Caenorhabditis elegans: one gene and its partners. The protein of the gene in region 1 purifies or fractionates together with the protein of each later gene. This does not show direct contact. Each region holds a gene or a part of one and is shown in the gene's direction. Other genes may lie near its edges.

Evidence for each region. Proteins that work in one complex are often made in the same cells at the same time.
Region 2: the proteins of bar-1 (region 1) and ubq-1 purify together in Caenorhabditis elegans (affinity purification with western blotting, with the first as the bait; one study listed by BioGRID). This does not show direct contact.
Region 3: the proteins of bar-1 (region 1) and lin-23 purify together in Caenorhabditis elegans (affinity purification with western blotting, with the first as the bait; one study listed by BioGRID). This does not show direct contact.

Annotation. Positions count from the first base shown.
Region 1 is NC_003284.9:7,164,690-7,173,939, reverse strand, and holds bar-1 (Beta-catenin/armadillo-related protein 1), read left to right. Parts: upstream 1-3,314; 5' UTR 3,315-3,323; coding exon 3,324-3,391; intron 3,392-3,505; coding exon 3,506-3,632; intron 3,633-3,697; coding exon 3,698-3,793; intron 3,794-3,850; coding exon 3,851-3,955; intron 3,956-4,588; coding exon 4,589-4,735; intron 4,736-4,781; coding exon 4,782-4,906; intron 4,907-4,954; coding exon 4,955-5,069; intron 5,070-5,123; coding exon 5,124-5,336; intron 5,337-5,383; coding exon 5,384-5,629; intron 5,630-5,674; coding exon 5,675-5,788; intron 5,789-5,831; coding exon 5,832-5,975; intron 5,976-6,023; coding exon 6,024-6,149; intron 6,150-6,195; coding exon 6,196-6,291; intron 6,292-6,334; coding exon 6,335-6,566; intron 6,567-6,610; coding exon 6,611-6,699; intron 6,700-6,745; coding exon 6,746-6,902; intron 6,903-7,552; coding exon 7,553-7,788; 3' UTR 7,789-7,935; downstream 7,936-9,250. Other genes in the region: pgp-10 (P-GlycoProtein related), read right to left, coding at 8,054-8,190, 8,303-8,513, 8,555-8,659, 8,709-8,915, 9,175-9,250.
Region 2 is NC_003281.10:5,938,104-5,945,568, forward strand, and holds ubq-1 (Ubiquitin-related), read left to right. Parts: upstream 1-2,882; 5' UTR 2,883-2,887; coding exon 2,888-3,254; intron 3,255-3,304; coding exon 3,305-3,760; intron 3,761-3,813; coding exon 3,814-4,497; intron 4,498-4,545; coding exon 4,546-5,229; intron 5,230-5,279; coding exon 5,280-5,605; 3' UTR 5,606-5,724; downstream 5,725-7,465. Other genes in the region: F25B5.5 (CDK5RAP1-like protein), read right to left, coding at 5,813-5,983, 6,033-6,182, 6,226-6,356, 6,402-6,555, 6,600-6,960, 7,011-7,155, 7,207-7,272. UniProt on the Caenorhabditis elegans protein: Ubiquitin exists either covalently attached to another protein, or free (unanchored).
Region 3 is NC_003280.10:6,368,156-6,376,291, forward strand, and holds lin-23 (F-box domain-containing protein), read left to right. Parts: upstream 1-3,147; 5' UTR 3,148-3,157; coding exon 3,158-3,283; intron 3,284-3,401; coding exon 3,402-3,540; intron 3,541-3,593; coding exon 3,594-3,768; intron 3,769-3,821; coding exon 3,822-4,116; intron 4,117-4,163; coding exon 4,164-4,532; intron 4,533-4,667; coding exon 4,668-5,108; intron 5,109-5,257; coding exon 5,258-5,608; intron 5,609-5,649; coding exon 5,650-5,757; 3' UTR 5,758-6,395; downstream 6,396-8,136. Other genes in the region: Serine carboxypeptidase ctsa-4.1, read left to right, coding at 1-80, 127-236, 348-429, 474-560, 607-694, 741-865. UniProt on the Caenorhabditis elegans protein: Functions cell autonomously to negatively regulate cell cycle progression. Required to restrain cell proliferation in response to developmental cues. Probably recognizes and binds to some proteins and promotes their ubiquitination and degradation.

The DNA of each region.
Region 1 (9,250 bases):
GAAACAAATAACTTTCTATTATGAAAAATGTGTGCACTTTAGGTTTGAAATTTTCAAAGTTTTCTTTTTTTTTAAATCATATGATCAAGTCTATATACTTTGGCATTCTTAGCAAAGCCGTGTCAAAACCCACTCCAATCATTTGTGCCTTTAACCCGACATGTCAAGCTTTAGAAAAAAATATAATAATTTAAGACGAAAGCAATATTGTATGCCATTCACGTAATTCGGGATCAAGCTCCAGTCTTAAAATGTTTTTGTTTTTGATCCTCTGCTTTGTTTGAAGTTTCAATCATTTTAATAATACATATCAGTTTCAAATGTGACAACATTCGTTTTAATCAATTGGTTACATCAAGAACTGTTGCCGTTTTTGCTATTTCTTTTTCTCATTAAATCCTCTTCATTTTCAATTTTCTCTCTGTCTATTAGTTCCACAAACGACCTTATCAATCTCCCAAACATTTAGCGTCGACAGTCGACACACACACACACACATACAAGCGACACTAAAAAATTGCACTAAAATGTTTTTACCCTTCTTTTCAATTTTTGCTTAGGCGCTAGAAGATGGAAAAGGGGCAATTGTAATGTACTCGCCGAGAAACAGAATAATGGATAATTTTTCATGTTGTCCTCGTGCCCTGCTGAGGGGATAGACAGATTGGACGCTACTGTCCGGTCGGTGATTCCTATCGTACTTCCCTCAAAAAGAGGTTCAAGATGGTATTTCTCACCTCCAACAATTATCTTCCTTACTTTCGATGATATCCTCATGTTTTATATTTTTAGTGTTCATTACGCGCGAAAAATTTACTGCAATAAAAAATAAACACAACAAAAAAAGGAGATGAAGACAGAAGGAAACATGATGAATCCTTCATTCTTATCGTCAATCTTTTTGCTGAAAAATGTCTATCTTTTTACCGTCTCCCATGAATTTTGATCTCCATTGTTTTTTTTTTCTGTAGTTCTTTATAATCTATAATAACAATCGCATGGTCACATGGGCGCGCTGCAAGGTGCGATTTGTTCTGAAATAACCGGGACACGTGGCCATTCAGAAATAATTGTAACAGTTATTTTATCCGGTTTTCATGAAATACCGAAATAATTTGTTTTGTTTTCAATCCGGAAAAACTAAAATTTGAAATGGAAGTACCAAAATACTTCTTCTATGAGGCTCTACGGCCAAAAATATTATATTAATTTTTAGGTAATGTTCCAAATGGAGTTTGAGGTGGCAATAATTTGAAGATAATATTCATTGCGTTTGTTGGTGTCCAACAAGTTTTCAAATAAATAATCACGTAGAATTTTGAAGAAAAAATTAAAGCACTTATTCTGACAACTGTATATTTACGTATCTACTTTTTTTCGAATTATTATATTAGTTCAGTTACTTCCAAATGAACACTGCAACATTCCACTGCGTCTTATTCTTTTCTTCAAAATTGATAATATGTATCATTATCATGTGTTAAAATTTTCATTTCTCGCAATCTTTACTTATCATCTTTTTAGAAACCCAACTTTGGAATATTGACGCCTGTATTGAAAAATTGGTGAAGGATTGAAAAATTTCAGTTAAAAAAAGTTATTTTTTTATGAGATCCTTTTTGCAATAGTCATAAATAACACACATTGCAAGTTAAAATAACTTTTGAGGTTAAAAATGTTTTTTTTTAGCACAAGACGGAAGCACTGATTTTTTAAATATTCCAATTTCCTGTAAGATTTTGAAATGTTAAATGATGTCTTTATGAAAGATTGCTCATAAGGAGAACACTGTTATCAGTAAACCCCCGACATGGAGCACCCGTTGCAACACTTTTCTCCATTTCTTAAACAAACTATTCTTCTTTTATTGCTTTTTCTCGACGTAATTTCACTTTTTTCCGGTTGTAAAATAATAATATATTATAAGTTTTTACAACTTAAAAAATAAATTGAGCAAAAACTTTTTCAGAATAGTATGAAAGATAGTTAATTCATTAATATAATTTTTAAGTTGTAGTCTTTATGACATTGTGTACATAACAAGTAAATGCAATTTGTCTGTGAAAGTGTTTAAATGTACAAACAATAGGCAACTCATACCCACTAAATGAGTCATTAACGTGTCCTTCAAAAAATCAAAGTTCATAGTATTGGAAAACAGGATAAAAAGTCATATTAATGATGATGCTTTTCTTCAGCGGAAATAAAAAAAAACCTTTTCAAAAGTGTATCATGAAAATTAGCAATTGATCCATTGCATGAAACAATAAAAAAAACATAATTTATAGTAGTGAACTCCAATAAAATTATAATAAATAACAATCAAAGTTTTGCTTAAATAATTTGAATGCCAGAAACTTAGCCTGAAAGAAAATTAACTTTTTTTTATCATTCACAGTTTGCAATTTTATCCTGCAATTTGAAAGTTAACACAATTTTTAAAAATTATTTTTAAGGTTGTACTCTTGGTTATTCTAATTTGCCATGATTAACACTTTCCTATTGACCAAACTTTTGTCTAAAATGAATAATCCTGATAACGATTCTGTCTAACGGAAACCAAATGATGGCTTGTTTGATTTTCCACTAGAAACCTTTTGAAAAACAGCAAATCTGGGTCGTTATGCTGATATGATATAAATGAATAAGAAAATAAAGAAGAATAAAAATGAAGGACTTGATAAATAAGAGTCGACTAATTATCCCAACTGATAATTTACGACTAAGCTATCCCATTTCTATTTTCTCTCCCAGCCTTCCCAGTTCTCCTCCCAAATACATCCTTATCAAAGTTGTTTCCCCCGTCTTTCCCGTTTGTTCATTTCAAACCCACAACTGATGACTGTGTGCCTTCTCGTTTCACCACAGATAATCATTATTATTGAAACATACCTCTAAATTTTATTAGCCAATTTCACACCTTTGGCTGCTCACTCACTGATAGGTGATTGAAAGCACGAAAGAAAATGGGTTGAATAATGCGAGCGGGACGGGCAAGGGGATGGGAATGATTGGGGGTGAAATAGAAGCCATCTGATATCAATAGCCCTTTACTCTAGGTTAGGTACAAACCGCTCATTTCTATTATTGCTTTTTCTTCATTACACAAGCCTTAGACTCTCTATCTCACTATTTCACCGCCCCATCACCACACACTCTTTCTTGTGCCCAGCAGGAAGATTTGTAATGTTTTCAAACATTTTGTTCATTCAGTTTTTTCACTGCTTTTTCCTATTTTTTCTCTTCATCCGGCAGACAAATCGTTTTTCTTGTTCGAATTGATTCATAAAAAAATATTTGGCTTTTTTTTTCAGAAAACTGGGATGGACCTGGATCCGAACCTAGTTATTAACCATGACGACACAAATTTATCAGAGGCATCTTTTACAATGTAAGTTTTTTTGATTGAACGAGCCTGCAAATTTGAGGAAAAGAAACAATTTATTTTGATGTTGGGAGTTATCAAAAAAAAAATTTTAAAACTGTTTTAAAATATTTTTTACAGGGAGCAACACACCTCGAGCTATTCGGATATACACATGGGCTCAACGCCCTGCACCGGCCACCGCAAGGTGGATATGTGGCGGAATCACAACTTTGATAGCGGTTTCCAAACAATGAATCACAGTGAGGTACGAGAAAACAGAGGAGAGATAGACACACACACACAACAAAGATTAATGTGTTTCAATTTCAGGCTCCATCTATTATATCATCTCTACATCCGTCATCGCATCTTTCCGGAATGTCATCCATGGCCGACTATGAGCCGATCCCCACTCTTTCAGATCAAGTAAGACCATTTCATATCAAAATGCGCTGGTGGACAAAATTGTTATTTTTCTTCCAGCAAAAACAAAAGTTTGATGGGATCACGCAAAATCAAGCGGATGGGCAGTATAACACAGTTCGAGCAATTCCAGAACTCACTATGCTTATGAAAGATCAGGATAATGTAAGATTTTTTTGTTCAAAACTTTTTTGAAATATTCATACTCATAATTTCACAATATATGAATTAAAAAAATCCTCGGTTTTGACCTATTTTTTATATTTTAATTATATTCAAACATCTTGTATTCCAACATGCAACAATGCTCGAAATGTTACAAATTTTTGGAAAACTTAGCAACTTATCAGAACTGTGACTGAAATTTTTGAAAAAAAAACTTTAAAAAATTAGAAACGTATGTCTACTATTACTATTATTACTATTACTATTACTATTACTACTATTACTGGACTACTATTATTTCATTTAGGTATAATATGATGTTAATTGATTTTTAACTTTCAATTACTCAAAATAAATTATCAAATCTACAGTAAGAAAAATATTTAGTCGAATTTATTCACTTAAATTTTCAAATCACAAAATCTGAAATTAAACTATGAACTTTTGATTTCAGTACTGATATTAACACAAAGATAAATTGGTTCTAATGCTGCTTACTGATGAAGCCGGTGTTTGAACTTTTGATTGTTTGTAACATTTAAAATCGATTATCAAAATTGAAGTATCTGGAAAAAATTTAAAAAAATTGATTGTTCTGCTGAAAAAAACATTATTCAAACAAAAATCTTACAGGAGGTTGTGCACAAAGCTGTAATTCTGATGCAAAATATTGCGAAGATGGAGTGTGACCCAATGCGACGGCAAAATGAAGCTCGAATTGTGGACCCCCGTGTTATATTTACACTGCGTGATCTTCTCCGTGACAAAGTTGAATTCCCGGTATAGCTTGTGCACTTGCACAGTTTAATACATCATATATTTTCAGAACATCATTCGTTGCACTTTGGGAACATTCTTCCACATTTGCAACCGACAGGAAGGAATTGATCTTGTCACTCGAGCGATCGCAGAACAACCTGATATAATTCCAAATCTTATTAGGCATATTGGGTAAGAAAGTTAAATTTCAGAAAAAAATCATTCAAATAGCTGTTACAGTACTTATCCAAGTTCAATATACAAATATGCCATTCTTACTATGCATTCGATTCTGTCCGATAAGCAGAGAGGCGGACAAAGTGTGATCATTGCGCGTCAACAAGATGCGATTACTGTAAGATTAAAGAAGAAAAAAAATTGAAAAAAAAAAATTTACAAAAAATTGCAGCATGTGACTCCGTGGTTAGAAGCGGAGAAATCAGAAAAACTTCTTCCAGTGATAGTTGACTTGATCAGAGTTTTGTGTGAAAAGAACACCGAACAGAAAATCAAGTTTGTGAAAATGGGAGGACCTCAAAAACTGCTCATGCTACTACAACACAGAGTTTATGAAAATTTGCTTTGGCGAACTACGCAACTTTTGAAAACATTTTCGAACTTTGTAAGAAATATTTGAAACTGAAGGATGTAATGTCTGAACTTTTCCAGGACGCTCCAAATCTTGTTGCTTTTGGTGGTCGCCAAATTCTCGCCAATCTTCTTTCACATGGTAGTCCGCGACTTGTACAATCAACCCTTGAAACTTTGCGAAATATAAGTGACGTACCAAGCAAAATAAAAGAAGATTTACTTTTGAAATCTCTTCTGGAGCTGGTCAATTCTCGAAATACAACAATCCGTCTATATTCTGCTCAGATAATGTCAAATCTAGTTGCAAACAACAGGCATAACAAGGTGCTTTTGTCAGAAATCAAGATATAGTATTAATTTTAATTCCAGGAGTTTATGTGTGGCAACAATGGGGTTGTCATTCTTGTGAGAGCTTTAACAATTGCCACCAAAGAGATGGGTGACTTGAGAGATAAAGAAGCACAGCAAATGGAGGATTATATTGTAATAACATTTAAATTTCAAAGCTTAACAATACGGTTTTCAGGAAAGCCTAATTTGCACGCTACGGCATCTCTGTGTTGGACATCCAATGTCAGATAAGGTCCAAGCATTTGTTTTCCGAGATCCTGCATTATTTCTACACAAATTGTTAACAATGAGACCAGTATTGCTGAAACACACATTGAGTGTAAGTCATTAATTTGAAGGGCTAATAAGAAATTGAGATTTAATTTAGCTCCTGCTGAAAGTTGTATCCCAACATGCCCTTCTTGCTCCATTCCGATCATGCCGAATTGGAGATAAAGGTTTTGTTGAGCAACTCATTCATATTTTGAGAGTGGCATGTACCCAGCTGAATGTGGTAAGTAAAAAGTCAACAAACCGACTAATAATTGTTGGATTTCAAGCAAGAATCTATCGAAGGTGTCCGCGTGAAAGATATCATTCATCTTTGTATTCAAATCCTGCGATGGATTACAAGAGACCAGGACATTCTCAACGAGGTATTAATGTTTTCAGGTTGAAAACCCAAATTTCAATTTATAGGTTGTTTTCTTCCTGCAAACTCCTGAAAATAGCCGAATGGGCGATGGTCATACTCTTCCAATTTTTGTATTACAAAAAGCCAACGTTGAAGAGAACACGAAATCATCGGCTCTGGCCTTGATTTATAATTTGATGCATCATGAGCAAATGGCAAACGTACTTGACAGAGATGACGTTCTTGTTAAAATGCTTCAAAATGTTCAAATGCAATCTCAAACTCACCCTGAATTAGGTAACGTTGCACACCAATAGACAAGTAGAACTGAAAATTTACAGCAAGTCTAGCAAATAATATTCTCAAGATGATGTATGAGAAGCGAGAAAAGACAAGGAATACTCTTCCAAGATACAATTCATATTTAGAGGTAACACAAAATGGGGGATAACTCTAAGAAAAAGTCAGTATTACAGAGCCAATTTGGTCACATGAGCATGACCACCCCACGAAGCGAAGCACTAAATAGTAGCGGTGAAGTGTGTGAGGGAGCTGGAGAGCAATGGTCTACACCTTTAACAGATGATACTATGATGGATTCGTATTGCAACAGCTCCGGACGAGATTCATCAAGTAAGATATAAGATGACAATTTAATTTGCTCTAGGAAGCTAATCAAATTTAACAAATAACTTTCGGCCATTTTGACATTTGCCGGATGTCAAAATTTTGAAGATGTCTTTAGAAAAGCAGTTTAAAATATAAGCTCAACAAAGATATATGTTCGATAATTTTCAAAGCTTCGGCAACACGATTGTTCGTTGCCGAAAACTTCCCGAAGTTTTTATATATTGCCAACTTTGATAAACGCAGGATTCCAAAGATTCTATCTACATACATAGTTTTGCTTACCATTGTGAGAGCGAAAAAAAAACTTAGGAAAATTGTTATAGATGTAATTTTTCAACTTTTTTAAAATAACAATCAAAATTTGACAATTATTCATTTTACATAGTTACCCATTTTTTGGAAGTAAAAATTGTTTAAATGTGAAATGAAGGTTTTTAATTAACGTATTTGCTCTATAAGTGGGGGTGCCAAAACTTTTTGAAAGAATACATATATTTCGTAATATTTTATTTCGGCTGTATGATTGTTTTGTTTTTTTCTTAAGATTATTTTACTAAACTTTTCACTGACGCTACTCCACCTTCGAATTGGATTGAGACAATATACTATTAAAGAAACTATGAACCTAGAACCAAAAACAAATATTTCTTCAGAACCATACAACTCACCAATGTACCATTCCCCACCAGCAATGTATCCAGAATACTCAATTGGACCTCCCGAGACGTACTTGGATCCCCATGCCACAGCATCTTGTTATCCGCGACCAACGCCTCCTCAATATAACAGCTATGACCGTAGTCCACCAGTTTACAACGACCTTCCATCAAACCCTGGTCCGAGTAGTCATTCGTCTGATTATTATCCTTCTAGGAATAGTCGATTTTAATTTTTTAATTATAACATAGACCCCCACACTTTCCACCACCCCAGTCGGATATTTGTTGCACATTCCTTGAAAATGAGATTCTAATTATTTGTATACGGGTTCATGAATTGGCATGCAAAATATGTTGAATAAAGTGAATTTTTATTGAATTTCAATTTCAGAAAGTGTGTCAGATAAGAAAATTTTTATAAAAATAACAACTATTATTTACAAATTATGAATTCCAGATTCAGAGTGTAGTTTTTGCATGCCAAAACAAATTCATTTACGTCATTTGATTCATTTCGTAGTAGATACCCTTCAAGTTGATAAGCTGCTCATGGCTACCTTCCTCGGCAATTTCTCCATGAACAATAACGTATATTTTGTCGACGTTTCGAATTGTTGATAAACGATGAGCGACTGGAAAAAAAACATTTTTCCCGTTAGAGATTTGCCAATTCTCGTGACGTACTGGCTGAGAGTTTAAACCGCATTAAATATTACTTTTCAGTTTCAATATACTAATTCTTACTTTGAATACACGTGCATTGAGTCTTCGTACTCCTCTTGACTCGTTCAAAAGCGTTTTGAACTTCTCTCTCGCTGGCGCTATCCAATGCCGATGTTGCCTCATCTAACAGTAGAACAGTTGGTTTTCTGATAATTGCACGGGCAATTGCAATTCTTTGTTTTTGACCGCCAGAGAGCTGGGCACCAAACTCTCCAACCTCTGTGTCGTAGCCCTAAATTGCTTTGTTTTAATGTGTTTTATTTTTAAACTCACCTGTGGTAAACTAGTGATAAAATTATGAATGTCCGCAATCTTTGCAGCTTCGATAACTTTATCAATTGTTGCTTCGCTTTCCATCATTCCAAAAGCAATATTTTCCTAAGAACAAGAACATTTTATTGTGATTTTGATAAATGGTTAAAGATACCTTGATGGTGAAAGAGAAAAGATCAGGTTCCTGGCCGACTTGTACAATGCATCTTCTTAAATAGGCCGGGTTTATAGATTTGATGTTGTACTTGTCAATGATAACAACACCATCCGTGGCGTTGTACATTCGTTGGAACAAAGAAATCACCGAGGATTTACCGGACCCGGAAGGTCCTACAAGTGCAATTGATTCTCCACCCCTGACCTTTAAGTTGATCGTTGAAATTCGATGCAAAAAAGGTACTTATGGGTTTCGTTCCCCTCAATATGTTTTCCATAATTTTTGATAGAGACGTGAACTTTTTTTCATTCTCAGGCTTAGGAAGATGGTTTCCTAAGCCTGAAAATGAAAATAGTATTAAAATAAACTTTCACGTGTGGATTAAAATTAAAAATTCAGTATTAAATAATTAAAAGAACATTTTGGGGGAACGAAACCCATAAGTATTAAAAAAAACACTGACCTTCAAGTTCAAGTTAGTCAACACTGGTACAATGGGTCTTGAAGGATATCTGAACGAAACATCCTTAAGACAGAGG
Region 2 (7,465 bases), on another chromosome or scaffold:
AACCAGTCCCCACCATCCATTTCCGTGCTTGCATCATCATCATCATAGTCGTCAATTTTTCAAGATTGTATCTGTCTCCCTCTCGTTTCCCCACAGCCGACTTAACAAACACCTCTTTTCCGCACTTTCCGCACCAAAAACATGTTTGCGTCTCTCCGTGTTTTCTACCGAGATAGCCACACGTCAAGTAAGCGCCAGTGATCTCTCAATTGATAATACTTTTTTAAAAGGTTTCTCAGTTAACTGAACAATTGTGAGGAAGATACAAATAGTTATGACGTGGCTTAAAAAGAGAAAAATGATGATGAAATAAATCATCACTATTCATTGCTATTCGTTAGAATGCAGGATATAAATCACGATTTTCGTTTTCGAACACAACTTTAAACTTCAATTTTTCCTTTGTTTCTCTGAAAACTTTGCAGTCATTTTCAAGCTTCCACAGAACTTTACAAAAAAACTAGATTTTCTCCAACGTGGCGATATTCCCGAGTTTCGAGAAGAATCCAGCTTGTCAATGCTGTATAAAACCTTTACTTTTCTATCGTTTCCATTATTTCTTTCACTGCACCTGTTACTGCCAGGTGCTTTATTTCCGCCTATCGTCTATTTTGTTTTCCTCCTACCAAATTTGACAACCCTCCGCAAACACTCATTCCTATTTTAGCCCGGTGAAATTTCGATATGGAGAAAAACAAAAACAAGTGTGAGCTTCCACTTCGGAATAATTTCCGGAGAATGAGAATTGTACAATTTTCTCCTATAAGACCATACAATAAAATTTTATCAGAAACATGAAGCTTTGGTCATTATCATTTTTTGTTACCCTTGAAATTTGATCACAAGGCTTTAATTTTTCATGAGACGTCAATTTTTTCTGATGATAAATAACATAGTTCAAAGTATTGCGTAATGTTTCAATTTTAACATGACACATAATAAATCAGAAACTCGAAAAACGTATTTAAATATAGATTTTGTCGGGAAGTTTAATGTGCAACTGTCTCGATATCTTTCTTTGAAAACATTTAATTTTTATTATATTTTCCAAACTGGATTCGAGAATTCTCGTATTCTTAAACAAATTTACAATGAAAATATAAATAATTAATTTAAAGGAACATGTTCTGCAATCCTCCCTGGGTCCCGCCACGAAACCGCCACGCACTACCATGAAAGGCGCGTTCGCATTCGTTCTGCCGCTCGTTTCTGTTTTCCAGATCTTTCCATCATTTTCTTCATTCATTCGCGCTCTCTCATTATCTTGAGTTGCCGGCTATTTTCGCTGCTCTCTGCTTTTTCGTATCGCTTTTTCACTCTTTCCAGCATTCAGAAAATTGCATTATTTCGGTTTTCATTTAAAAAACTCATAGCAAAGTATTTTGTTATTGATTTCGCAATACTTTCGAAAAGTATCGGAAAATTTTAATGTTTAGTCTGTGCGTTCCTCATTCCCTGTTCTCGTTGTACTCTTAACTGATGTTTTTAAATTTAGTTTTCCGGGGCTCTCTTGAAAAGACCCAATAGTCGTATTGAACCTTCGCCTGATCGCCACTAGCTCATCTTTTAGTCTTATGACGGGCTCACATGATTCTCCCCAGTGTCCTCCCGTTTTCTCACTGCACTTGTTTTGTCGTTCGTTCATCAGTACAAAGTACAAGCACTTTCGCGTCTGTCTGAAAATTGGTTCGGGTGCCGTTAGGACATTATTCATACTTTCCTGCTAGTCGCAGATTATAAAAAAATGTCCTTGACCGTCTGCTCTTTCTTATGTTCTCCCTATATATGCGTCAAACGAACAACTGACCCTGTTCACTTTTCCTATTCTTCGTTTCATCATTTTCTGTAACAAAAATGGAAACAATACTTTACACAGACGTCACTATTATTCAGGCCTATGATTTCTCTATCGTTTAGTTAAAGATGAAAAGAAACTGGTCGACCCAGTTGCATGACGAGAAAAAAGAACACCCCGTTCGATTTTCGTTGTATTCCCTCTGCACACATTGTCCCCTTCTTCCTCATCATTTCTTTCCCTACACAGCACTCTAGAATGTTCTTCTTGTGCAGAAAGAGTGCCGTTTGAGTCAGCGACCCCCCCCCCCCCCCTCCTTTCTCTTGCTCTTCCTCACTGGTTCTCGTAATAGGCGACTTCTTGCTAACAGAAAGTGAGCATAGCAACATTTTTTACTTTGTGGCCTTCAATAATACGTGCGTCGTTTAATTAGAATGTTTGAGTAAAGTTCAACGTGTAGATTCAATATTCACGTTTTGGGCGCTCTTTAATTTATTACTGTCAAGAATCAGTTTACCAAACGGTGAGTTTCTTTTTTTTTGTCTAATTGTAAGATTTAGCGGGGTAAAACCAACAGAAATGTCATGCTTTTTTGAATAATCTCAATCAGTTGTTATATGAATTATTTTCCCATTTTAGCAATACTGCTTGGTAGTTATTTTCGGTCAGAGAAACGAGGACATCAGCTGAACATCTGCGTCTCTAACAACACTCGGGGAAGGCGGAGTCAGTGTGCGCGTGCGTTGGGGGTTTTATCGATCGTTGAGGCGGGCATACAGCAGTCATACACCCCATTCGACCAGAACGCTCCGCTCGCGTGCCACCTTGTCTCCATTCTCATTTCACTTGTCTCTACTCGGACATTACTCCTCATCGATTAGCTCTTTACTACCATTTTACTTTTATGCCTTTCTTTTTTCGTTTGACTTGCCTATGACGAGTGGGGATGAAGTTTGCTTTGTTAGTCTTACTAGTGTATCGATTTTTTGGGTAATATTTCGCAACTTTCTAGGACTTTCTTTCATAATCACCTCTTCTCTCGCCTCCTCATTCCAGTTTTATTCGCACTCATTTTCTATTTTTTCAGCAATCATGCAAATCTTCGTCAAAACGTTGACTGGAAAAACTATCACCCTGGAGGTGGAGGCTTCCGATACCATCGAAAATGTCAAAGCCAAGATCCAAGACAAGGAAGGAATTCCACCAGATCAGCAGCGTCTCATCTTCGCCGGAAAGCAGCTCGAGGACGGCCGCACCCTGTCTGACTACAACATCCAGAAGGAATCTACTCTTCACTTGGTTCTTCGTCTTAGAGGAGGAATGCAGATCTTTGTCAAGACTTTGACTGGAAAGACCATCACACTTGAAGTTGAAGCTTCCGACACGATCGAGAACGTCAAGGCCAAGATTCAAGACAAGGAGGGAATCCCACCAGATCAGCAGCGTCTTATCTTTGCTGGTATGTTACATATAACAAATTTTGTTCATGAGAGACTAATTTTTTTCCAGGAAAGCAATTGGAAGATGGACGCACACTCTCTGATTACAATATTCAGAAAGAGTCTACTCTCCACTTGGTGCTCCGCCTCAGAGGAGGTATGCAGATCTTCGTCAAGACATTGACTGGAAAGACCATCACACTTGAAGTCGAAGCTTCCGACACGATCGAAAATGTCAAGGCTAAGATTCAAGATAAAGAAGGAATCCCACCAGATCAGCAAAGACTTATCTTCGCCGGAAAGCAGCTCGAGGACGGCCGCACCCTTTCGGACTACAACATCCAGAAGGAATCAACTCTTCATTTGGTTCTCCGTTTGAGAGGAGGTATGCAGATCTTCGTCAAGACATTGACCGGAAAGACCATCACCCTCGAAGTCGAAGCCTCCGACACCATCGAAAATGTCAAGGCCAAGATCCAAGACAAGGAAGGAATTCCACCAGATCAGCAGAGACTTATTTTTGCTGGTACGTTGGCAAAATATCTAATATTTGACCTAAAATTTATTATATATTTTCAGGAAAGCAACTCGAGGATGGCCGTACCCTTTCGGACTACAATATCCAGAAGGAATCAACCCTCCATTTGGTGCTCCGCCTAAGAGGAGGAATGCAGATCTTCGTCAAGACTTTGACCGGAAAGACTATTACTCTTGAGGTTGAAGCTTCTGACACTATTGAGAACGTGAAGGCCAAGATCCAAGACAAGGAAGGTATCCCACCAGATCAACAGCGTTTGATCTTTGCCGGAAAGCAACTCGAGGATGGCCGTACTCTCTCCGATTACAACATCCAAAAGGAGTCTACTCTTCATTTGGTTCTCCGTCTCCGAGGAGGAATGCAAATCTTCGTCAAGACTCTTATCGGAAAGACCATCACCCTCGAAGTCGAAGCCTCCGATACCATCGAGAACGTGAAGGCCAAGATTCAGGACAAGGAAGGAATTCCTCCAGATCAGCAACGTCTCATCTTCGCTGGAAAGCAGCTCGAAGACGGCCGCACCCTTTCGGACTACAACATCCAGAAGGAATCAACTCTTCATTTGGTTCTCCGTTTGAGAGGAGGTATGCAAATCTTCGTGAAGACTTTGACTGGAAAGACTATCACCCTCGAAGTCGAAGCCTCTGATACCATCGAAAATGTGAAGGCCAAGATCCAAGACAAGGAAGGAATCCCACCAGATCAGCAGCGTCTTATCTTTGCCGGTACGTTATATAGATATACATAACTCAAATCAACTATTATTATTTCAGGAAAGCAATTGGAAGATGGGCGCACGCTCTCTGATTACAACATTCAGAAGGAATCTACTCTTCACTTGGTTCTCCGTCTCCGAGGAGGAATGCAGATCTTCGTCAAGACTCTTACAGGAAAGACCATCACGCTCGAGGTGGAAGCTTCTGACACTATTGAGAACGTGAAGGCCAAGATCCAAGACAAAGAAGGTATCCCACCAGATCAGCAACGCTTGATCTTCGCCGGAAAGCAACTCGAGGATGGCCGTACCCTTTCGGACTACAATATCCAGAAGGAATCAACCCTCCATTTGGTGCTCCGTCTCAGAGGAGGTATGCAGATCTTCGTCAAGACATTGACTGGAAAGACCATCACACTTGAAGTCGAAGCCTCTGATACCATCGAGAATGTGAAGGCCAAGATTCAAGACAAGGAAGGAATCCCACCAGATCAGCAGAGACTCATCTTCGCCGGAAAACAACTCGAAGACGGTCGTACCCTCTCCGACTACAACATCCAAAAGGAGTCTACTCTTCATTTGGTTCTCCGTCTGAGAGGAGGTATGCAGATCTTCGTCAAGACATTGACCGGAAAGACCATCACCCTCGAAGTCGAAGCCTCCGACACCATCGAAAATGTCAAGGCCAAGATCCAAGACAAGGAAGGAATTCCACCAGATCAGCAGAGACTTATTTTCGCTGGTGAGTTCATATTGTTTTTAGAATTAAAACTAATTTTTATTGTTTTTCAGGAAAGCAACTCGAGGATGGCCGTACCCTTTCGGACTACAATATCCAGAAGGAGTCTACTCTTCATTTGGTGCTCCGTCTCAGAGGAGGTATGCAGATCTTCGTCAAGACTTTGACTGGAAAAACCATCACTCTCGAGGTCGAAGCTTCGGACACCATTGAGAATGTCAAAGCCAAAATCCAGGATAAGGAGGGAATCCCACCAGATCAGCAACGTTTGATCTTTGCTGGAAAGCAGCTCGAGGATGGACGCACTCTATCCGATTACAACATCCAAAAGGAGTCGACACTTCATCTCGTTCTTCGTCTTCGCGGAGGAGACATTTAAATCGAACCCATCAATTCACTCGTTATTCCTCCTCGATCTCCGTTCAAGTAACAATTATTTATTCTTTATTCCTTCGGGAATTTCTGTATTTTAATGAACGAGCTCTGAATAAATTCATTTTCGTGTACTCAAACGATTTATCTTTAACAATAACAAACAACAAAGATAACTACTCTATGAAGTGTAAGGTTCAACTATATTTATAGATCAGATGCTGGATTGTCCTATGAGTTGCGCTTTCAATGTCTGCGAATTGGCGTCGGTGATCAGAATCTTTGCATATTGACCAGGTTCCAAACAGAGTTTCGAATTGTCGAACACTGCTTTCACACCACCATCGATCCTTCCATGTGAAAATGATGCATCCCTTTTTGACTTCTAAAAATATTATTTTAATTCATTTTATTGGTGTTTATAGATGACTCACTCCTTCCAACAAAACCGTCTGTTCCGACCCGATAAGCGCTTGGTTCAATTTCAATGCTTCTTCCCGAAATACAGTAGTCAAATCTAAATGTCTTCTTGCTTTTACATCTTCTGGAACATCGTCTGTTAACCGATGATGTGCTCGCGTTTTCTGAAAATAATCTGATAGGAACAATTTTCAGCAACTGACTCACTCCACGCATACTGTAGGGGAAAACGAAGCAGAATGAATAACGAACGGCTCGAATGAGGGAAAGTGTGTTCTGATGAGCTTGTTCAGTTTCTCCACAGAATCCGGCAATGAAGTCACTTGTCAGAGAGACGCCTGATAAAATAATTAAGTTTTGTTTGAAGAGTGATTCATACTCACTTGGTAAAACATGTCTAATATCATCAACTAATCTCAAATACAGATCTCTTGTGTATCCTCTTTCCATCCGTTCCAATGTCTCATCATCTCCACTTTGTGCTGGAAGATGAAGTTGTTTGCAGAGATTTGGACGGGATGCAATAAGCTCGATCAACTGAAGGTTATCATGATTATCAATTAAAGCTTCATAAAAGTTACCTGCATCGGGAAATCCTTTGGATGCGGGGAAGTGAACCGAAATCGGATATCTGGAGCTGCATCAGCGACTTTTTCAAGCAATGTTGTAAAGGTCAGGCCCCCACTTTTTGGTTTATAAACAGTCTTAAAACCGGGAACTCTGTCCTCTTGTGATGTCGATGGAGCCATTGAGAAATCCATCGATGTCATATCTCTATAGCTATTCACATTTTGTCCAAGTAGTGTGACCTGTTTGTATCCCTGATCTCGAAGCCTCTGAACTTCTTCTACAATTGATTCAATAGGCCGACTTCGTTCTCTTCCTCTTGTGAATGGAACCACGCAGTATGTGCACATATTGTCACAGCCTCGCATGATCGAACTGAAGTTTTAAAATGTTTTTTTAAAATTGAAATTTTTAAATCGACAAACATGAAAGCCGTCTTGGAAGCACTATCGACTCGAATCGGTTGCACATCTGCATACGTTTCATCGAGAGAAAGTTGCACATTAATTCCATTTGAACCACCTGCAGCAACTGCGACAAGGCGAGGAAGATCTCGGTACGAGTCTGGACCTGTAAAATTTGAGGTGTTTATTCATGAATTTTACGCATTTTTTAACGCACCTGCGACAATATTAACCAAATTCCGCTTCTCTAGCAAGTCGTGTCGTACTCGTTCTGCCATGCAACCTGGAAATCATTTTTTTACCTCTAATATTTAATTTTGTTTGTTGGAAAATTGAAAAATATCAATTTCAAAATTAATTATATTCTATTTTCACGAATTTCCGATACCCGTTAGATTTGCTTAAATAGATTTTTCAGACGACTCGCCAATTTTGCACTAAAACTACGGTACCCGGTCTCGACACGACAAATTTTT
Region 3 (8,136 bases), on another chromosome or scaffold:
CAAATCTCAAAAAAGCTTTTATCGAAAGACAAATGAGAATAGCCGTCGGATTACCAGCAAGAAAACATAATGCAGCTACCGTAATACTAGATTTCAGAAACTACTATAATTTCAAAATACTTTCAGACAGTTCCGCTTTGTGCTCAAACCAATAATACACATGTTTATTTGAATAGAGCGGATGTTCGGAAAAGTTTGCACATTCCAAGTTCTCTTCCAGCATGGGAAGAGTGTAGGTTGGTTTTTGTGGGGTCTATGTCTTCTCGGTATTACCTGGAGGAAAGTTTGCTAGAATATTGCGTAGTGTCATCTTACAATTAATTAATCCTAATTGTTTTCTCTTACAGCGACCAAGTTGGAAAGAATTATGTAGTAACACATTTCAATGTGATTCCCGAATTTCAGACAATGATTGCTGCAGGAATTAAAGTTTGAATATTTCAAATTAATTTCAAGTATTTAGAATTGTTTAGATTCTTGTCTACAATGGAGATGTGGACACTGCTTGTAATTCAATCATGAATCAACAGTTTTTGACATCACTCAACCTGACAGTTCTTGTTAGTTTCTCTTGTCTTTATTTTATATTTAACTTTTATTTTTTAGGGAGAACAGGAGAAAGTGAACGAGGCTTGGCACTACTCCGGCCAGACTGGAACTGCAGTAGCTGGGTTTCAGACCAAGTTCGCCGGAAGTTTGTTGCCTTTAATATCATTTTAAACCTACATAACCATTTACAGATGTTGATTTTTTGACCGTTCGTGGAAGTGGCCACTTTGTGCCTGAAGACAAACCTAAGGAATCGCAGCAAATGATTTTTAATTTTATCAATAATAAGGACTATTCTACTCCTATTCAACTTTGATCATTGACTGTGATTTATTAATTTTTGGAGAAGTTTCTATTTAAGGCAATAAAAAGAAAATTGAGTTACTTAAAAGTAGCGAAAATCTGGGAAATATTTTTAAATGAATCCAAATTTGCCTCTGATTCCGAATATATATGTGAAAAAATTCAAAAAATCTTCATTGATTTCACTACTCCATCTTTAAACTACAAAACTTAATAAATTCTAATTTTTGGTAATTTGGCAGTTTACCAAAAAGTTTGGCTGAATTTTTTTTGAGTGTTTTGTTATGGTACAGAAATACGTTTCATGTTTTTTTTTCAAAATGATTTACAAAAAAACTTCAAATTTCTAATTGTTCCTTGCCAATTGTACTAATGTTGACCTTTAGTATGCACCAATGATAACTGGATATTCTGTTTTTGGCAGATAGATATATTTGAATTTCAGATGAGTCTAATGAATAATAAATACCACGAACCTAGCCATCATTCGTGTTTTTATTTAACCAATAGAAGCACCCATCGAAGAAATAAAGGGTATAATGATTTTTCAATGAACCTGTTCAACATCCTAATGTCTTTTGTCTTGCAACAGAAGTTGACAGAAATTATGTGGTATTACGTTTAAGTGTAATTCTCAAATTTCAATGTATGGTATCAGCTAATTTAAAAGTTTGGATATTTCAAATTTAGTACAAAACTTAGAAAGTTTCAGATTCTATACTAAAAACAATTTTTTCAGAATTGTGAATTCCTTGAAAGTGTAATATACATGTAATAGAATAAATTATGTTTATGGGATACGTTTTGCAAATTTTTATTATAAGTGGTTTCGAATTTATCCGATTTCTGAAGCACAATAGGTCTTGCCACGAACAAAAAACTTTGAAGCAGATGTTGCACAAAAAGGTGTGCGCCTTTAAAGTTTACAGTACTCTCACTGTCCTCTTTCTGATGTATTTACTTGCGTCTGAAATCCTGAAATAAAAACCGCTAGACCAACGAAAACAAGATTTTTCAAACGAACACAAAACAGACGGAAAAGAAGGTAGGTTGAAAAAGAACGAGAGATATGTCAATCTAAATGTGTAATAATATCTCGAATTTCGGGTCTGAAAATCAAAAGTCGAGCTGAAAATGTGATCAGCAGACAGAGGGAGGTAGTATTAGAGTGCACGGGGTGCAGAAAAAGTACGAGAAATACCCTTTCCCACACTGTTTTCTCTTGCTTTCTCCGCTTTTCGCTAGTTTTAAAGGTGAACAGAATCCAGTTGGATTGGGCTAGACATCACATAAAATGCGGAGATTTAGAGAAGGCAAGCGCGCCCTAAAGCAAAGAGGGCGTGCACGAGACGGCGGGTCGATTCAAGCTCTAACTGTCTGCGTCTCCACTATTGAAAGGTGCTTCACCGCTGTCTCTAATCCGATTTTCTTTCTCTTTTCTACCTTCTTTTCTGTCTTTTCTTTTTTGTTTCCTTCTCGTAACACTCAAATCTTCCTTTCGTATAGTCGTTCGTTTTCATCGTTTTCCGTTAGTTGTGTATTTTCAGGAAAACCTGAGATATTTTCAATTTCCGAACGTTTGTTCTCGTTTAATGCCCAACCGCATCATAAAAACGTTAAATATGTTTCTCCCAAATGGAGAAAAGAGCAAATTTATGATTGAAAAACTAAAAAAAAGTCATGACTAAATAGTTATTATGCTCATCGAAAAATTTGCCAGTTTAAATGCTATTTTATCGATTTTCTGAAATGCCCTGAAATCTTTGATTAAAATCACTATTTTGATTCTCTATCGAGACATATAAAAGATTCTTGATTTATTTTTTAAAATAAGTTGAAATTATAAACACAAATTTGACGATAAACACCAAAATGTGCGTTACCTTTTCATTTGCAATACATATTATTTAATAAGTTTTTTAAATGTCAATCTTCAAATATTGTGTTGTTAAATTCAAACTCCCAGATGTTTTATTTGCTATTTTCAGCTGAAATTCAGATATTCCTATAACAATTTATTTTTCTATTTGGATTAACCAGTTCACTGATTCTGTAAAAGATTACGAAATCAAGAGAATTCTCGAAACAAAAAATTCATTGCAACGTTGATACAATTTCATCTTCGGAACATTTTCCCTTTAATTTCCTTTAAATTTCGATGATACTGATTAACTCACCTGATTATATGAGATCTTTCCGACTTTAAATTGATTTTTACACAAAAACATTGTTCTCTAAATATCGACATATTTTTATCTTCTAATCAATCAACACTCAATAATATCCATTTAATTCAGGACATTAAATGTCTTCACCGCACCGAGCTTCAACAACTCAGCAGCTGGCGGACTTATCGTTGACGGAAGGTGAACACGATGAGGGCAAACCGCTTTCTATTGACTACCTTCAAGGGCACGAAGGCCTGATCGAGGTAAGGAAAACGAGATTTCCCGTCATTCTAGCGCCATCATAATGTCGTTTTGATTTTTTTTTTTTTTTTTTTTTTGATTTTTCCCAAATCTTTCTTCAACTATCATCACCTTTTTCAGGAAGTATTAAAATGGAGTGAACACGAACAGCTCGATTTTATGGACAAAATTGTTCATCGATTATCACATTATCAGTTGGGAAAAGTCGACAACTTTATCAGGCCCATGCTCCAGAGAGATTTCATTAGTAATTTACCAGGTAAAATTTTTGTCTGTTCAGTATTAAACTAATCTAATTCTATTTTATTTCAGCACATCTTGTCGAATTAATTCTGTTTAATGTAAACTCGGATTCATTAAAATCTTGCGAAGAAGTGAGCACAAGCTGGCGATGTGCACTCGCCCGTGGTCAACATTGGAAGAAATTGATTGAAAAGAATGTTCGAAGTGATTCCCTGTGGTGGGGACTTTCTGAAAAAAGACAATGGTTAGTTGATGATTTAGTTTATCAGAAAATAGGAATAAAATACTTGATTTCAGGGACAAATTCCTGAATATCAGTCGAGACATGTCAGTGCGACGAATCTGTGAAAAATTCAACTACGATGTGAATATTAAACGGGATAAGCTTGATCAGCTCATTTTAATGCATGTCTTCTACAGTAAATTATATCCAAAAATCATTCGAGATATTCATAACATTGACAACAACTGGAAACGTGGAAACTACAAAATGACTCGAATAAATTGTCAATCAGAAAATAGCAAAGGAGTATATTGCCTTCAATATGACGATGACAAAATTGTATCTGGTTTGAGGGACAACACTATTAAAGTCAGAATGATATTATTTTGATTTCAAAATAACTCTGATATTTTTAGATTTGGGATAGAAAAGACTACAGCTGCAGTCGAATTCTTTCTGGACATACTGGTTCCGTTTTATGCCTTCAATATGACAATCGTGTAATAATTTCTGGATCTTCTGATGCCACAGTACGTGTCTGGGATGTCGAAACTGGAGAGTGCATTAAAACGTTAATTCATCATTGTGAAGCTGTTCTTCATCTTCGATTTGCTAATGGAATAATGGTAACATGCTCAAAAGATAGATCGATTGCTGTCTGGGATATGGTTTCGCCACGCGATATCACAATTCGAAGAGTTCTTGTTGGTCATAGAGCAGCTGTAAATGTCGTTGATTTTGATGATAGATATATAGTCAGTGCAAGTGGAGACCGAACTATTAAGGTGAGAATTTGAAATTAAAAAACTGCTTTTCCAGTTATTAAGAAGCTTTTTTTTTAATTTAAAGGTGTACTTATCGTTTGAGTCTCGTTTACTATTCTTGCGGTTCTGAAAATATTAATTTTTTTCAATATTCAGGTCTGGTCAATGGATACACTCGAGTTTGTTCGAACATTGGCTGGCCATCGACGAGGAATTGCATGTCTTCAATATCGTGGACGGCTCGTTGTTTCTGGATCCAGTGATAACACGATTCGACTATGGGATATTCATTCTGGTGTATGCCTACGTGTTCTTGAAGGCCATGAAGAGCTCGTGCGATGCATTCGATTTGACGAAAAACGAATTGTCTCCGGAGCATACGACGGAAAGATTAAAGTATGGGATCTTCAAGCTGCTCTAGATCCTCGTGCATTATCTTCGGAAATATGCCTCTGCTCATTAGTTCAACATACTGGCAGAGTGTTCCGCCTGCAGTTTGATGATTTCCAAATTGTTTCCTCTTCACATGATGACACTATTCTCATTTGGGACTTTTTGGACGCTCCACCCAGTGGGCTTCCGTCTTCAACAAACAGAGTAAGTACAACATCTGGATCAAATCTGTTAATTGAGAAATGGCAGTACATTTGATAGTCTTCAAAATTCGCAAATACACTTTGAAGAAAAAAAAGTGCTTGCAAATTTGTAGTCAGTTTCTTTTCCGTGATTCATATTTATTTTTCTAGGCCACCCTCCCAGAACTTCCAAACCAAGCTGCTGTCGCTCGAGCTCAAATGCTTTTTGAAATGGCTGCTCGACGAGAAATTGAGCGACGAGATAGAGAAGTTGTGGAAGAACCTGCACTGAGGCCACGTGCCAATGCTGCTCGTCGACACAATGCCGATATTGCAGCAGCTGCAGCAGCGGCGGAAGCTGCTAGAGGTGCCGGGGACAATGATGAATCGTCATCAGAGGAAGATCTGGACAGAGTTGATCAGGTTAATAATCCGAACGTGGCTGGACCAGCGCCACCGCAACCACACAATCAGAATCATAGAAGGAGGCAACCAAGACCAGAATTGCCTGTCAGACTTATGGTAAAATTGAAAATTGAATGATGAGACTAAAGATTGACAAGTTTCAGCAAGAAATGGCTGCTTTTGACAATATGCGCCGACAACAAAATAATATGGATCACCTGGGCGGAGGCGACGTAGACGAAGAGATGCCAGATGGTGGCCCATAAAATCTACACTCCTTCCCATTTTTTTTTGAATTTTTACTGATCTTCAACCGGTGCAGAAATCAACCAAACCCTCTGTAATCTTCCTTGTCATTTTCCAAAAAAGAAAGTTGAAATTCCTTTGTACAGTATCCTTTTGCATCCCCTTCCCAACTTTTCCTCTCACTATTAACTGATCTGATTTCATGTGATAATAGTGTGTGTGTGTGTCTCTGCATTCTATTCATCTTTTCTCAATCGACATATTGGAATATCGCACGCACAACCCCTTTCTTTCTTGTTTTTGTAACCGCATTCGAGTCCTGGTTTTTCTGAAACTATTTTTTTAATACTTCAATTTTCAAAGTCGCATGCTTTGCGGGTGCCCATTCATCCACTCTCACCATTTTATTTTGTTTTTCATCCCTCTTCCCATTTCTCAACGGTTTTTCTTCTACGGCGACGATTCTAAATGCTTCTATCCCCCGCTTTCCTCACCCGCACATTTTCAATCGCTTCACACAAATCTGTTTCAAATAATCGTTTTCGTTCCTAATTTTTCTCCCCTTCCATTGCCTCCAATTCCAAATTTCTTTTATTCGCTCGGAAAATTGTGTTCTGTATAGTTCGAAATGATATAAACAAATTTGGGTTTTGCTACTCCACAATCTGCCATTCCATCTTTTTTTCTAAATTAGAGTTTCTCATTATCATTCTTCTGTCACTTCCTGTCTTTCCTACGTCATTGTCACTGACAACTTTGCAGAACCGATTTGAGCATTTCTGCAACTTTCTTCTATTACATCTCTACGTCCCCATTCTTATCACACTATTTATTTAGTCATGTGACAAGAGTGATAATGAGAAAATAATTAACCTTCCACTGAATCCCAGTTTTGTAGTAGAAAAAAGTCAAAAGTTATAATCGATAAGCATGCAAAATCAAGTCATGCGACAGTTAAATGACAACATATCGATTAGATATTTCACAAGAAAGTTTACGGAATTTTCCATATTTCAATTGCAATTCGATCAAAAATGTGACAGCTCAAGTGTTTGGCAGATCAAGTGTTTGGCAGATGGGTGGTGTCACATTTTAATGCCAAAACTAATATTTCTCCTCTGCAAAAGCAAAAAAGCGGTAAGTTTGAACCCGAAGTGTGGCAAAAAAAGTTCAATTTGGCACACACCTTTGAGTTCTTATCAATTTCCGGAGAGGTTAGAATGGGATTATTGTAAAGTTCACGAATTGTCGGAGATTGGAATGTTTCACAACTATTTTCATAGTGGACACACTATGTAGGATGACTATAGATTTTTGATTTAATACGAATTCGCGAAGCAATCAAAAAACGAGTACAACACATTGAAACCTAGACGATGACAAGTTACAGTACCCTTTTCAATTGGTTTAGGAAGCGATTCAGCAGTAAATGTGATTTTTTTCTGTTTCAAATGAATACCTGGTTTTCGTGGATAGTATAAATATTTGTATTGTTATTCGAGACAGTTTATATAGTTGTTCACCCAATCATCGTTTGCATTAAGTTGTCAATACTCTAGAATTAACTATGATGAGCCAAATAACGATGCTCACTATTTTTTGCCTTCTGAATAAAAATAAATCATGTTGAGTGTAATTGAAAGTTCGAAACGTTCTACTACTGTAATTCAATTGAAATGTAAAATTAAAGATGACCTGATTTCATTTTGAATACCACACAAAACTCTACTTTTTAAGCGCAAATAAAAGTTTTTATACACATTTTTGAAGGATATAAAATTTTTTTTTTCGGTAAATATCAATTTTATTTCATAGTGTATTTCATTCTAAAACTAAAACAATGTAATTTTGTACTTTTTCGTGTAGACAGGAACTTTCTTGTGATTGTAGCTATGATCGTAGTTTTGTGTCAGAAACCACAAACCCCCCAGAATGTAGGCTATTTTATTAGGTGCAACTTTTTGAAGTAATCAAACATCTAATAAACATCAAATCCACCCTCACTCAAATGCCAGTTTCTTTCTGATCTCTAGAATTTTCAGTTGAATTTTGAATTAGTTTCAATGAGTTATTTAATGTTTTTTTTTTGGAAAACAACCAGTCAAGTTCCTTTTCGACAATATTTGGATGCAGAATTTCTGATGAGGAATCGAGTCTGATGAATTTTAAATTGAAGTTGATAAGCTGAAAGTTAATAATCAATGAACTGAAATAGGTTACCGAAATAGAAATATTCGAAATCTTATTTACTTGGAAGACATGAAAATTTCAACTCACGAATCATTTTCGAACTGAATATTTAAATATGTGAATCTCAATTCAAAATGACTTGTTTTCAAAAACATTAAGCTTATTTTCAGAGATTTCTCGATGGCTTCATTAAGCATTGTCTGATTATT